Linked DNA regions of Macaca fascicularis. The protein of the gene in region 1 purifies or fractionates together with the protein of each later gene. This does not show direct contact. Links are inferred from orthologs where the notes say so. Each region holds a gene or a part of one and is shown in the gene's direction. Other genes may lie near its edges. The genes, in order: FYN, SKAP1 and CD36.

The links.
Region 2: the proteins of FYN (region 1) and SKAP1 purify together in Homo sapiens (affinity purification with western blotting; 3 studies listed by BioGRID and IntAct, with this or other methods). This does not show direct contact. The link is inferred for Macaca fascicularis from reciprocal best matches to the Homo sapiens genes FYN and SKAP1.
Region 3: the proteins of FYN (region 1) and CD36 purify together in Homo sapiens (affinity purification with western blotting; 3 studies listed by BioGRID). This does not show direct contact. The link is inferred for Macaca fascicularis from reciprocal best matches to the Homo sapiens genes FYN and CD36.

What each region holds. Positions count from the first base shown.
Region 1 is NC_088378.1:15,756,987-15,761,337, reverse strand, and holds part of FYN (tyrosine-protein kinase Fyn), read left to right. Parts: intron 1-3,122; coding exon 3,123-3,226; intron 3,227-4,193; coding exon 4,194-4,343; intron 4,344-4,351. UniProt on the Homo sapiens protein: Non-receptor tyrosine-protein kinase that plays a role in many biological processes including regulation of cell growth and survival, cell adhesion, integrin-mediated signaling, cytoskeletal remodeling, cell motility, immune response and axon guidance.
Region 2 is NC_088390.1:58,534,301-58,538,651, forward strand, and holds part of SKAP1 (src kinase-associated phosphoprotein 1), read left to right. Parts: intron 1-599; coding exon 600-677; intron 678-2,171; coding exon 2,172-2,255; intron 2,256-4,351. UniProt on the Homo sapiens protein: Positively regulates T-cell receptor signaling by enhancing the MAP kinase pathway. Required for optimal conjugation between T-cells and antigen-presenting cells by promoting the clustering of integrin ITGAL on the surface of T-cells.
Region 3 is NC_088377.1:140,878,267-140,883,354, reverse strand, and holds the start of CD36 (platelet glycoprotein 4), read left to right. Parts: upstream 1-1,725; 5' UTR 1,726-1,832; intron 1,833-5,088.

The sequences.
Region 1 (4,351 bases):
CCAGTGGCTGTTTGCCAGCTCTGACTTGTGAACTGAGGGAAGGAGAGATGGAGCCATGATTTCCCAAATGCAGGAACTTGGCCTCCTCCTGACACCTTGGGTCTCGCCTCTCTAGAAAGAGAGTTGAGAAAAGTCAGTCACCAAGCCCAACTTTTGGCTCCGATATTTAATTTCACCATGGATTTGTTTAAGCAGCGCAAGGGGGATTAAACTCCACACCCTAGCCAAATCCCCAGTTGGATTGTTCTCTTCTTTAATTCCCTTGTATTCCCTCTAAGAGGATCTGTTTTGTTTCTCACTCTCAAATACTCAGTGGTTCTTAGTTGTTGTTTTCTCCCAGTGACTGTGTTTCATCATCAGTGAATCAAGATATTTGTCTTTAATTTGTATTTTAGGGCAGATTTGCAAAAATCTTTGTGTTCTTTCAGAATAAAAAGTACCACCAAAATGTAGCATTACCCTGATTTAACTGGGAATTTGTCAGTTATATATTTAAGTTATTTTTATAATGGTCAACTTTTTAAATATTTTGTTTTTAAACAGTATTATTTTTTAAAATAATGCCTTTGGTTTTACATGTGTAATTAACTATTATTATCTTAAAATACTATTGTTTTGGTGCAATCCATTGTTCTAACAATTCTTTTTTCACCACTGTCTTACACGGCATTCTAATTGGGTTATGGGTACAAACCCAGAAAGCCGTTTCTCACAAATAATTGGCGTAATAGTCTTTACACCACCTAGTGCTAGATTAAGGATTGTTGCACATTTTGGTGTTTCTAAAACTCACTGAGGAGCTAACACGCCGTGTCTCTTTTCTTCAGTGAAGCTTAATTCACAAAAGAATTTGACAGTGAACTCATAATACCTATATTCAGGCATAGTGAATTGAAATTTCATTTTAGAATCTGGATTCTTTCACAGTTAAATATTCTAAAAATGGTTCCCACACACACATTCCAATTGAATGCTCCAGCATTCTCCCTTGGGTTTGGGGAGCACCTGCTGCTCATTCAGCACCTAGTGCTGAAATAGTAACTAACTGCCAGGCTTGGTTAAGGCTTGAGAATGTAGGGGGAGGATATAAGGCAAATAACAAAAGTCTTGAGGTGACTTAATGTGATGCCTCCTGAAGTGGCACAGAGTATCATTAGTTTGTTCAGGGATAATATATTGAAATATCTGCAACACCAAGTCATTTTAAGGGCACGCTTATTGACTGAGCACAGATCTCAAAGGTGTACAGTAACCAGTCCTTACAGTTGTGCCAAGGAAAAGATGTACAGGGCCAACCGTGATGGCTCCCTCCTGTAATCCCAGCACTTGGGAGGCCAAGGCGAGAGGATCAGTTGAGCCCGGGAGTTTGAGACCATCCTGGGCAACATAGGGAGACAGTCTGACTCTGTCCCCCGGCTAGAGTGCAGTGGCCCTGTCTCTGCTCACTGCCACCTCCACATCCCTGGTTCAAGCAATTCTCATGCCCCAGCCTCCCAAATAGCTGAGATTACAGGCACATGCCACCATGCCCAGCTAATTGTTTATATTTTCATTAGAGTTGGGGTTTCACCATGTTGGCCAGGCTGGTTTCGAACTCCTGACCTCAGGTGATCTGCCTGCCTCAGCCTCCCAAAGTGCTGGAATTACAAGCATGAGCCACAACTCCCAGCCTCTACAAAAAAATTTTTTTAATTAGCTGGTGTGATGATGTGTACCTATTGTCCCAGGAGGCTGAGGTTGGAAGATTGCTTGAGCCTGGGGAGGTCAAGCAGTGAGCTGTGGTTATGCCACTGCACTCCAGCCTGGGTGACAGAGTGAGACCCTGTCTCAAGAAAAAAACAGAAAAAGAGGAAGAAGAAGATAATGATGTACACAGATCACAATCCAGGTGCTGGCAAATGCCTTTACTTATCCAAGTCCTCACACCTGGGGGAAAGCAAAATACAAATAAGTACTCACGGGCATTTTTCTCAGAATTCTTATAGGTAGGAAGTTACTGAAAATACTATTCCTTTATTCATATCATATCTATCTATTCTGACTTTTTTTAATGCTTGTTAATTATCTTCATATACATTGAGGCTGTGTTTTGTTATTTCCCAGCAGTTAATAATGCTCAGATATCAAGAGATTCAAGAGTTTTGTTTTTTTGTTTGTTTTTGAGACAGAGCCTCACTCTGTCACCCAGGCTGGAGTGCAGTGGCACGATCTTGGCTCACTGCAACCTCCACCTGCCAGGTTCAAGCGATCCTCCTGCCTCAGTCTCCCAAGTAGCTGGGGTTACAGGCTCATACCACCACGCCCAGCTAATTTTTTGCATTTTTAGTAGAGACGGGGTTTCACAGTGTTAGCCAGGATTGTTGTCTCCATCTCCTGACCTCATGATCCACCCGCCTTGGCCTCTCAAACTGCTGGGATTACAGGTGTGAGCCACCATGCTTGGCCTTTTTTTTTTTTTTTTTTTTTTTTTGGAGACACAGCCTTGTTCTGTCACCCGGCTGGAGTACAATGGCACGATCTCAGCTCACTGCAACCTGGGTCTCCCAGGTTCAAGCAATTCTTCTGCCTCAGCTTCCCGAGTACCTGGAATTACAGGTGCCCACCACCACACCTAGCTAATTTTTGTATTTTTAGTAGAGATGAGGTTTCGCCATGTTGGCCAGGCTGGTCTCAAACTCCTGACCTCAGGTGATCTGCCCGCCTCGGCCTCCCAAAGCGCTGGGATTACAGGCGTGAGCCACCATGCCCAGACTAGAGTCTTTTAAATAAGTGTGGAGAGGGTCTCATGCAGTTGCCATTTCAAATCAAGGTCTTAGATTTCTGGGTTTTTTTGCATACAGGTGGCGGTTTTAACACAAACCAGTTCTGGTCACGTCTGGAGGGGAGGAAAACAACCCACAATTCAAATCTGATTTTTTTAAAAGAGTGAAAGAGATGAATTAGGGATAGAATCCAGGATAGATTGGAAAGGAACTGAATTAAGCTAGAAAAAATACGTACAGGGAAAGGCTAAGGACTAAATCGGAGGTGAGGGGAATTCATGGGCAAAAAAGAAAGCCTATGCTGTTGCATTTTGTAAATGACTATTACGAAGTATTTTCTTTCCTTGATCTCATTTAAAGGTGGTACTTTGGAAAACTTGGCCGAAAAGATGCTGAGCGACAGCTATTGTCCTTTGGAAACCCAAGAGGTACCTTTCTTATCCGCGAGAGTGAAACCACCAAAGGTAAGATAACGAGTTGAAGAAGTTGGCTTGTCATTCAAATCTGTGGATTAGTCAGAGGGGATGAAAGGCTTATCTGTAATGTACAAGGTTTTTAAAATGGCACATATCCTCCCTGCCTTATGAGTGGAGTCCTGTTTTCAGTCTTGCCTCCAGGCTCTAGAACTGCAGACAGCACCAAAAGAACTACAGAGGCTCCAAATCAAGACCTTCCTCCTGAAACAGGCTGGGGGCGGCTTTACTGCTCCGGGCACACAAGATCATAGAATTTTCAGAAGTCCTTTAGAATTTCGATTTTCTGAAACTCTTAGTTCCTCGGGTGCCAGTCATATGGGTTGTTTTTGCTTTCCTTTTGTTTTTAAATAACTGAGGACTTCACTTCTCTTCCTCCAACTGTTGGACTTTTCATTATTTAACCACTCATTACAGCCCACAAGAGGAGATAGGTCAAGGAAGAAAAGAGTAGGGGCCTCTAGCTTAATCCACCAGATTCTCTGTTCCTGTGGAAAGTGTTGTAAAACAGAAGCTTGGAGCTCACTTCTAGAGAAAAAAGCCTTAGATTTCTTTTGCACATGCTGCCGCTACCTCCCAGTATGCCCCTGGGTAGAGAAGACAGGGGAAGCAAACTCAGCCGTGCATCGTGGTCCTTCTCTCTACCCTGGAGGGAAGGAGTGTCGGAATTGAGTCTACGCTGTATTATACAACAAGGGTGACTGAGCAGTGTGTTTAAGAAAAATATCCAGGAAGCTTTCAGTCTCAAGTGCAGAATTATTTTACTGCTAATATCTTCTGACATTTGCAGGACATCAAGAAGCATCTTCTTCCTGTTACTGAGTGGAGATGCTGTGTGTGTGTGTACATGTGTGTGTGTATCCTTGGTAATTATTAATCAGAGTCAAGAAAATGAGGCCTAAAAAGCAAGCTAATAGTCTAAATGACTGGAGCTGCTAATGCTTTGCTTGTTTACCAGGTGCCTATTCACTTTCCATCCGCGATTGGGATGATATGAAAGGAGACCACGTCAAACATTATAAAATTCGCAAACTTGACAACGGTGGATACTACATTACCACCCGGGCCCAGTTTGAAACCCTTCAGCAGCTTGTACAACATTACTCAGGTAACCTG
Region 2 (4,351 bases), on another chromosome or scaffold:
GGGGTCCTTTTCCTGCCTATCAGTACATATTTAGGCTACCTCACCTACTACAAATTAATGTATATTTAGATCGTTTTAAGCAATTTTAGCATTAGATATAATTGAAAAGAAAGAAAATTGGCTGGGTGCAGTGGCTCACGTCTGTAATCCCAGCACTTTGGGAGGCCGAGGTGGGCGGATCACTTGGGGTCAGGAGTTCAAGACCAGCCTGGCCAGCATGGTGAAACCTCATCTCTACTAAAAATACAAAAAACATTAGCCAGGTGTAGCGGCGCATGCCTGTAGTCTCAGCTACCTGGGAGGCTGAGACACAAGAATGGCTTGAACCTGGGAGGCAGAGGTTGCAGTGAGCCATGATAGAACCATCACACTCCAGCCTGGGTGACAGAGCAAGACTCTGTCTCAAAAAAAAAAAAAAAGAAAGAAAAAGCAAGAAAATTTACTTTTCCTTCCAATCATATAGAAATTGTTTTATTTTGTACTGTGTTTAAGCAATTGCCCTTGTGTACTCTGTTATTAATGTGAATTATCTAAAGTAGCCTAAATAAATGAAAATTTTGCCAGGTTTCAATAAAGCACTTTGCCATTGGTCCTTTTAGGAATGGAAGACATCGTAAAAGGAGCTCAAGAACTTGATAACATAATCAAGCAAGGATACTTGGAGAAGAAAAGCAAAGGTAATGGTCAGACCCACAGATTTCAGAACATTCCAGGAAGGGAAGGGAAGTGAGGAAAAAGAAAGCTAACATATTGGGTGCCTTCTCTGTGCCCGGTACTGTGCTAGGCAGATACAAGGCAAAAGTAATGCAAGGAAAGGAAAGGAATCTGGTGTTTGTGTGTAGGCTAAAGAGAGATGTCCCAGCCTTGAGTAGACCATAAGCTTCATCAAGATAGGGATGGTTATATCCTGCTCACCTCTCTATCCCCAGTGCCTGGTATGTGACAGGTGCTTAATAAAACTTATTGAATCAATGAATGGTGTTCTTGTCCTTATCTCTCAGTGTGCTCCCACTGGGTAGTTTTTATATCATATGTGAAGCAGCCTACTTTCAAATTTCAGACAAGCCCAACTCTTTTGTTTTTTGTTTTTGTTGTTGTTGTTGTTGTTTGAGACTGAGTCTCGCTCTGTAGTGCCATGGGTGTGATCCTGGCTCACTGCAACCTCCACCTCCTGGTTCAAGTGATTCTGCTGTCTCAGCCTCCCGAGTAGCTGGGACTACAGGTGTGCACCACTATGCCCAGCTAATTTTTTGTATTTTTAGCAGAGATAGGATTTCATCATGTTGGCCAGGCTGGTCTTAAACTCCTGGCCTCAACTGATCTGCCTGCCTCAGTCTCCCAAAGTGCTGGGATTACAGGCATAAGCCACCACACCCGGCCTTTTTTATTTACTTATTATTTTTTTAAGATGGGATCTCCCTCTATTACCAAGGCTGGAATACAGTAGTACCATCATAGCTCACTGCAGCCTCCAATCCTGGCTCAAGCAATTGCTCCCACTTCAGCCTCTCAAAGAGCTGGGACAACAGGTGCACAACTGTGCCTGGATATTTTATTATTTTTTATGGAGACAAGGCCTCACTTTGTTGCCTAGGCTAGTCTCAAACTCCTGGCTTTAAGCATACCTTCCATCTCAGCCTCCCAAAGTGCTGGGATTACAGACCTGAGCCACCACTTCTGCCTTCAAACCCAACTCTTGACCTTTAACTCATTTAATTAGAATAGGTACCACTAGAGTTGGCATCTCAGGTTTAACACTCAACAGGCAAATTGGCTCAGCACAAAAAAAAAAAAAAAAAAAAAGCTCTTTCATGGCCATGGCCTGGAGAATCATTTTTCTTTGTCAAAGGCAACACATAAAGATATAATGGAGAATTTGAAAATGTACAAGATGAGATAAGAACCCAAAAGATATAAAGGAGGCTAGATAAAAAGACAGCTGTGGGGCACAGAGCAGGCACCCCTGTTTAGAACTTGGACCTTTAACTGAGCTAGTCCCCCGGACCCTGAGTCAATATGGGATAACCTGTGGGAGTGAAAAGGAGGGTTTTACAGTCCATTAACCTGGGAAATAAAACAATAACACACTGGACTGTATGTTGTTGGATTTTACAGACTCTTCAGTGATGGTAGTTACCTGAATTTATGTCCCCTACTGCTGTTCTGTTTAGATCATAGTTTCTTTGGATCGGAGTGGCAGAAGCGATGGTGTGTTGTCAGCAGAGGTCTCTTCTACTACTATGCTAATGAGAAGAGTAAGTGTTCTTCATTTACACAGCAGCATCTCACTCCTGGATGCAAACACTTCGTAAATTCTCAAGCACTTAGATCTCAAGATAGCAGTCCTTAACTAATACCCATAAAGGGACATGCTTAGGAAAGAAATAGGCATGGGCAAATAATACCTTGCCCATCACCGAAAAAGCAGAACCCAATTTAGAAATTATTTCACATTTAAACACTAAGAGTGTGGTCAGCACATCAAAGGGTTATCTTTTATTATGATTAGCAATACATTATCAAAGTTGAATGTTTTGATTTAAAAAATAAAAATAAAAAGAACTTCAAACTCTTTACAGGTATCAATACCATAGCTAAAATATTGAAATAAATTAATTCTGAGAAAGACTTAAAGAACTTAAACAATGGCCCAGAAATTGAACCCCCTAAGGGCATGCTCCCAGCTTTATCCTAATGACTACTAGGAAGTAAGTAGTCCAGTGAACATTCCTATAGCCATAGAATATTGAGACCCAAATGGTTGCTGTACCCAAGGCACGCCCTTCAGCCAGATGACAGCAGCAGTGAAGTGTTGACTCAGGCCAGAGATAGTTTCTTAATGAGCCACCACTGACTTAATCAAGTCAACACTCATGAGCTAACCCTAGAAGACCTCCCATCCATGTTTAACGTAATTGATTGATTTATGAAAAGGAATAGAGGATATAAGCACAATAGGAGGCAATTACAAATAAATACAAGCTAAAAATTATTACTATAGATGAATGCAAACTTTCGAATAGGGGATACACTTCTACAGAGTTGGACTGCCCCAGGAGTAATTCTAAGAAACAAGAGGGAGACAAAATTTAAAAAACGTCAATTCTTGGCTGGGCGCGGTGGCTCACGCCTGTAATCCCAGCACTTTGGGAGGCTGAGGTGGGCGGATCACAAGGTCAGGAGATGGAGACCATCCTGGCTAACACAGTGAAACCCCATCTCTACTAAAAATGCAAAAAATTAGCCAGGCGTGGTGATGAGCGCCTGTAGTCCCAGCTACTCAGGAGGCGTGAACCCGGGAGGCGGAGGTTGCGCTGAGATCGCGCCACTGCACTGCAGCCTGGGTGACAGAGCAAGACTCTGTCTCAAAAAAAAAGCATCAATTCTTGTTGGGGCTTTCTTGTGCTGTGCACCTTCGAACAGAGGCCAGCGATACAGATTGAGTAGAGCCTTTTTTTTTCCTTGCAGTCATTTTCTGTTTCTCCTTTCTTATTCCTTCCTCAAACTTAGTCCTCTCCCAGTGCCTGGATATCCAATGTAGGGAATAATCAGACACCCACCCAGTTGCCTTTGTACTTCCTGCACCTGCAGTACTAAGGTAGTAGAAAGAACTACAGCCTCGGGCCAGGCACAGTGGCTCACGTCTGTAATCCCAGCACTTTGGGTGGCCAAGGCAGGCAGATCATGAGGTCAGGAGTTCAAGACCAACCTGGCCAACACAGTGAAACCCCGTCTCTACTACTAAAAATACAAAAATTAGCCAGGCATGGTGGCAGGTGCCTGTAGGCTGAGACAGGAGAATCGCTTGAACCCAGGAGGTGGAGGTTGTGGTGAGCCGAGATCACGCCACTGCACTCCACCCTGGGCAACAGAACGAGACTCTTTCTTTTTTTTTTTTTTTTTTTTTTTTTTTGAGACGGAGTCTCACGCTGTTGCCCAGGCTGGAGTGCAGTGGCGCGATCTCGGCTCACTGCAAGCTCCGCCTCCCGGGTTCCCGCCATTCTCCTGCCTCAGCCTCCTGAGTAGCTGGGACTACAGGCGCCCGCCACCGCGCCCGGCTAATTTTTTGTATTTTTAGTAGAGACGGGGTTTCACTGTGGTCTCGATCTCCTGACCTTGTGATCCGCCCGCCTCGGCCTCCCAAAGTGCTGGGATTACAGGCTTGAGCCACCGCGCCCGGCTGAGACTCTTTCTTAAAACACTGAATCTTTGCTAAGTTACTTGAAATCCTTCAGATTTGCCCTTGGGCTTGGTAGCAATTGCCTCATGCTGCCTCCCTGCCTGCAGTAGTTATCACAGACCTTTGCCTAGCTTTCACCATCCTACATCCCTCAGAACCTTTCCCATCTAG
Region 3 (5,088 bases), on another chromosome or scaffold:
ACACAGTGATTTCACCAAAGCCACATGGACACACTTGTGATTTACAATAATTTTGAGGACGGAAGATTATTAGATTGTCTGATCAAAGGATCACCATTTCTTCCACGCACAAAAAAATTAAGGTATTGAGAAATATAAACTTTTTTAAATAACCTTAGATAAATTTCCCAATGAACGTTGTATTCCAGAAACCAAAGTCATTTGTGTTGTTATTATAGTTTCCACTTGGCAGTGAATGGGTTAAAGATCACTTTCTAAAAGCAAGTCTTACTAAAAATTAGAGCAGAAGGCCGTAAAGACTTAGAGGCATGTAAAGATATGGAAAGGAAGACACGAAATAGGAGCAATTGGGCAGAATAATAAACTGGTGTCATAACTGACAACAGTAAATGTCCAGTTTACTGAGAAGTGGCCTTCCTACCACTCATTTTCTTCTGAAACCAATTGATCTTATTTATTGTTACACTCTTCTCATCATCTTCCTTCACTACGACACTCCTTCAGTGTCCTTGGAGAAAAGCACATCTATGGTTTTGCTTGCATTAACAGTTTTCCAAGTAACTCACAAGTGAAGAATATCATAAGTTAACTGCACGTGTTCAGACACATACCTTGGGGAAGACACACACACACACACACACAAACACACACACACACATCATTCATGCAGGCTGCCACATTGAAAACTTGCTTGACTTGGCTTCTCAATTCAGCCAGCAGCAGTTTGTCTTACTACTTACTGCATTATCCAGCTCTTGCATAACTTCTAGTCTCTTTTCAGGTCACCATCCCAGAGCTTCTTGTAGGGTTGGCTGAGACCTTGTTAGAATTCTCCATAAGTATCCTGTTGTGACACTAACAGGAAATTCTAACACCACACTCCCTCTCTAGTCACATTAAGCATCTTAGCCTCACAGATATACATTTTTTGTCTGCACTCTAGGATGCTGGACAAACTGTTCCCTATGCCTTGTACTTCCTCACTGCCTTAAACTCCCCCAATTTAGACAGCCCTTTCTAATCTTTCAAGTGGCGGCTTTGACGTCTTATCCTCTTAAAATAAAAAATTTAAAACCCTCTCTTCTACCCTAGACTAGGTCAAATATTCTCTTATGTTTTCCCCTAAAACTCTTGGCTTACCATGCTAATAACATTCATGAATACATAAAACTGAGTAATTTAATTTTTAACTCTTCAAACTTAGGCTCCAAAAGGACTAGAAATGTTAAATATTATTCACCATTGTAGTGGTGGATCTTGATATAATGCCTGACATATCAGAGACATTCAAATTTTTTTGAAAGAATGAGTGGTTTCTGTGTTGAAATGAGTATTCTTTTTGCTCTCTTGAAAAAATAAAGTTGTTGCTTTGAATGTGGTTAGACATGGCCCTAAGATATGAACATTAACTTTTTGGAATGTTTTTCTCTTGAAATTATTGATTTAATAGAATTGTATGGCTCTGCCTCTGTCAAAATAGAACAAGTCATACTTGCATTAACAAACAATGTCAAAACTCAGTGACTTGAAATAATGATTTATTTCTTGCTCACTGCTATAGTCTAAATATTTATGTACCCCAAATTGTATATGTTGAAACCTAATCCCCAAAGCAAGAGTATTTGGAGTTGGAGCCTTGGGAGGTATTTAGGTCATGAGGGCGGAGCCTTCATGAATGGCCTTAGTGCCTTTACAAAAGAGGCTCCAGGGTGATTCTTTGCCCCTATTACCAGGTGAAGACACAGCAAGAAGCCTTCTTTTACGAGGAAGTGACCTTACCAGACATCAAATCCGCCTGTGCCCTGATTTTGGGGTCCCCAGCTTCCAGAACTGTGAGGATTAGATGTTTGCTCTTTATAAATCTACCAGGTTTTGGTGTTTTTTTTTTTTTATAGCAACCAGAATGGATTAAGACATATTATACGTGAATACAATTACATGGAGAGTATTCTTAGAATGAGGAGGACAGAATGCTGATGATAGAGTATTGGGGAATAATTAAAAAGTAAATAAGAAATTATGTGTATTTAAGTGTAATTACATCAGAAATGCGTTTATATACAGTTATGTGAACAAAAGTAAATAATTGGGTGTTTCATAATATTTGCATATCCAACCTATTGCCATTAATGAAATTCTTCTATAAAACTAAGTAATTTATCTTTTGCATTATTTAACTATTTTCTCAAAAGAAGTGATTATTTATTTAAATTTCCAGTGATCATCTAGAATAAACCCATATAAAAGGATATAGTCTTTTTATGTATATGCATTAGTGAAAATGGAAATCTTTCTCACAGGAGGCTTTGATGACAGTTTGTAAATTGCTTGCAAGTTACTATATTTATTTCAGGTTTTATGTTTTAGATTAGTGCTAGTCAAATTCTAAAACCTTTTTTATTTTTTGAAATATTTCTTTATTACCAGTTTTTTCCAGATATTTGTGGACTTGTCTTCCTAACTGATGTGCTAGTATTCTCTAGATTATTTCTCACAGGTAAAGACAAAGTCTTACTTTCAGAATTTTATTGTTAATGCTTTTAACTACTGAGAATGCAGATTATAGCATTGTGTTAAATGACAATATGAATCATCTCCTACTATTGCTCAACTCTTTTCTAGTTTAGCCTTGACTTTCTTCTTCTGTAGGCAATATTCTCAAGGCAGGACCAATTCTGCTAATGAGTAGAATAGGCAGATTGATAGATAGCTGATAGAATGTAAGTGATTTCAAATTTCTCCACAAACTTGTCCCAGTGTCTCACATTCCCACATTAGCTATACTTCTAAAAATTAGCTATTTGGGCACTTTTACAAAGTTAACTCATTAAATAAATGTGTTTGTTTGGTTTCTCTATGTTATTGGTTTCTCTATGTTACTACCCTCTTTTCACTTTTTATTTCTCAGAATTTTAAAGAACAGTGTCACATTGTTGAGCTATTTTAAAGCTGTAAATAGAAAGGAAAGGAAGAGAGAGGCTTCAGTCACAGGCCAAAAGCTATTAGCACAGCTGAAATCAATCACTGTCTTTCTTGTTCCATAGGAATTACTACTCAAGGGACAGTCAGAAAGGGTCAAGGAAAGCTATTTTTCTTCCCACGATTTGGAAATACATCTTCTTTCCTATGATGAAAGCGATGTGGGGTGTGTGTGTGTGTGTATGTGTGTGTATATATATACACACATATATATATACACATATATATACACACACATATATATATACACACACACAGAATTATATTGTATCAATTTATATATATATATATATATATATATATATATATATTCCTCATTCTTACTCCTGATTTCATTCACTTATTTCAGCATCTTCCAATAATTCATCTCTCTAATCGATAAAAAGTAAATGGTGGTAGAAGCCACTCTATTCCACTGAAATTATTACCACACTGCTTGGGTAAGATTATATGTCTCCTGAATTGAACTGAGGACTTCCTGAGTAGAGTGATTCTGTTTTTTTTAAAAACTTTCATAGTACCTGGCACATCAAGGCCTTCAATAAGACTTATTAGAGTAATGAATGGACATATGAATTGATGAGAATACTTTAAAACATTATATAGTTGTAAAAGAGATTTCTGAAAGTCGTAGAAAATCTGTTCTTTTGAGTGGTTTTAAAGATTTAAAATCGATTTCCCAATAAACAGATGGTTCAAAATACTCAGATAAATTCACAAGATTGTTGTGAGTAATCAATAAGGTAATAATTAATAAAAATAAACAAGCAACAGAAATAAATAAATTTTAAATAATAAATGTTTTAATATAGGTTAACAAAGTATTTATCTGTGAAAGATACTACATGCTCAATAAATGAACTGCCCTTAAAAAAAGTGTTTTCCAAGATCTCAACAAATAAGCCATGATATGCCAACTATAAAGTACAGATAATCTGCTGACCAATTCCATCAAGCAAATCACATCCACATTAATACAAGTAGACCATAAGGGAGGCACCAAAAATCTCACATGGGAAGATTAATCACACTTTCCGGGAGGCTTTTGTGTATAAAGGTTGATTTGAGGTCTTCTTTTTTGAAGGGACATCACAGTAGCTTCAGAATTATATGACTGATGAGTTTCTGACTGAATCAATCCACCTTGGATCTGCTATGTTATTTTATTTGTTTTTATTCCTCTGTCCAGTTACTTCTTTAACATGACTATATTTAGTTTTAACTGTCCTCATTTCATCAACTCTGGGGCCCTTAAACACGGTTGAAACTATCTTTGTAAACAAATGCAAAAAGTATTTATGAACATGCTCTTTCGCTTTTCTTCAAAGGCATAAAAAACCCTTACGGTGCAGACTAGTATTAGATCTCTAAGAGAAAAATGCAAAGGAATCACATGAAAGATAATATTTAGTTAAAAATTCAGTTTTGTTTAGGACACCAAAGGATTCCAAAACCTTAAGCTAATTCACCCTCAATCAGTGATTTAGTCATTCTTATATAAATAGTTGTAGACAGATAAGAATAAAAATGATTCTGTTTTTGCTAACATTTGCTTGAAATTTTTGCAGAGAAATCCCAAGTTGTTCATTTATATCCTTTTGAATACTCCTGACCATAAATTTTCTTGCATTTTATTCTCTTATTAGGCAATGGGCATGCAGAGCACAATACTTGGGCATTATTGGACTGATAAGTATCTGTAAAACATTTTCTTTCCTTGATGAAATCTGCAATTTGCCTATAGCCTGATTTCCTTAAGGCTTTTGCCTATTGACTCATCTTTGACAACCAGCCAAAAGGAATTTCAAGACAAACACAAAGTGAAGAGTCACAGTCAGCTTTTTCTACACTCTTGGGAAAGCCTTTCTGGGTATGAAGTTATTCTTGATTTCATTTAGCTAAAATCCATAGAAAACTGTATGGAACAGGCAATTTGGGGGTTTGGGGTTATAAATTTTTTGAAACCCATTACATCTTCCTAAGGCTGTAATTTCTGTTAGGACCTACCCTTTCTGTACTTCCTTCTCCCTCCCACTGGATTCCAAGAGTCTTCTTTCTTTCCTACTTCTCAAATAACAAACTATGGAAGTCAGGCCACTTACCTGGAAG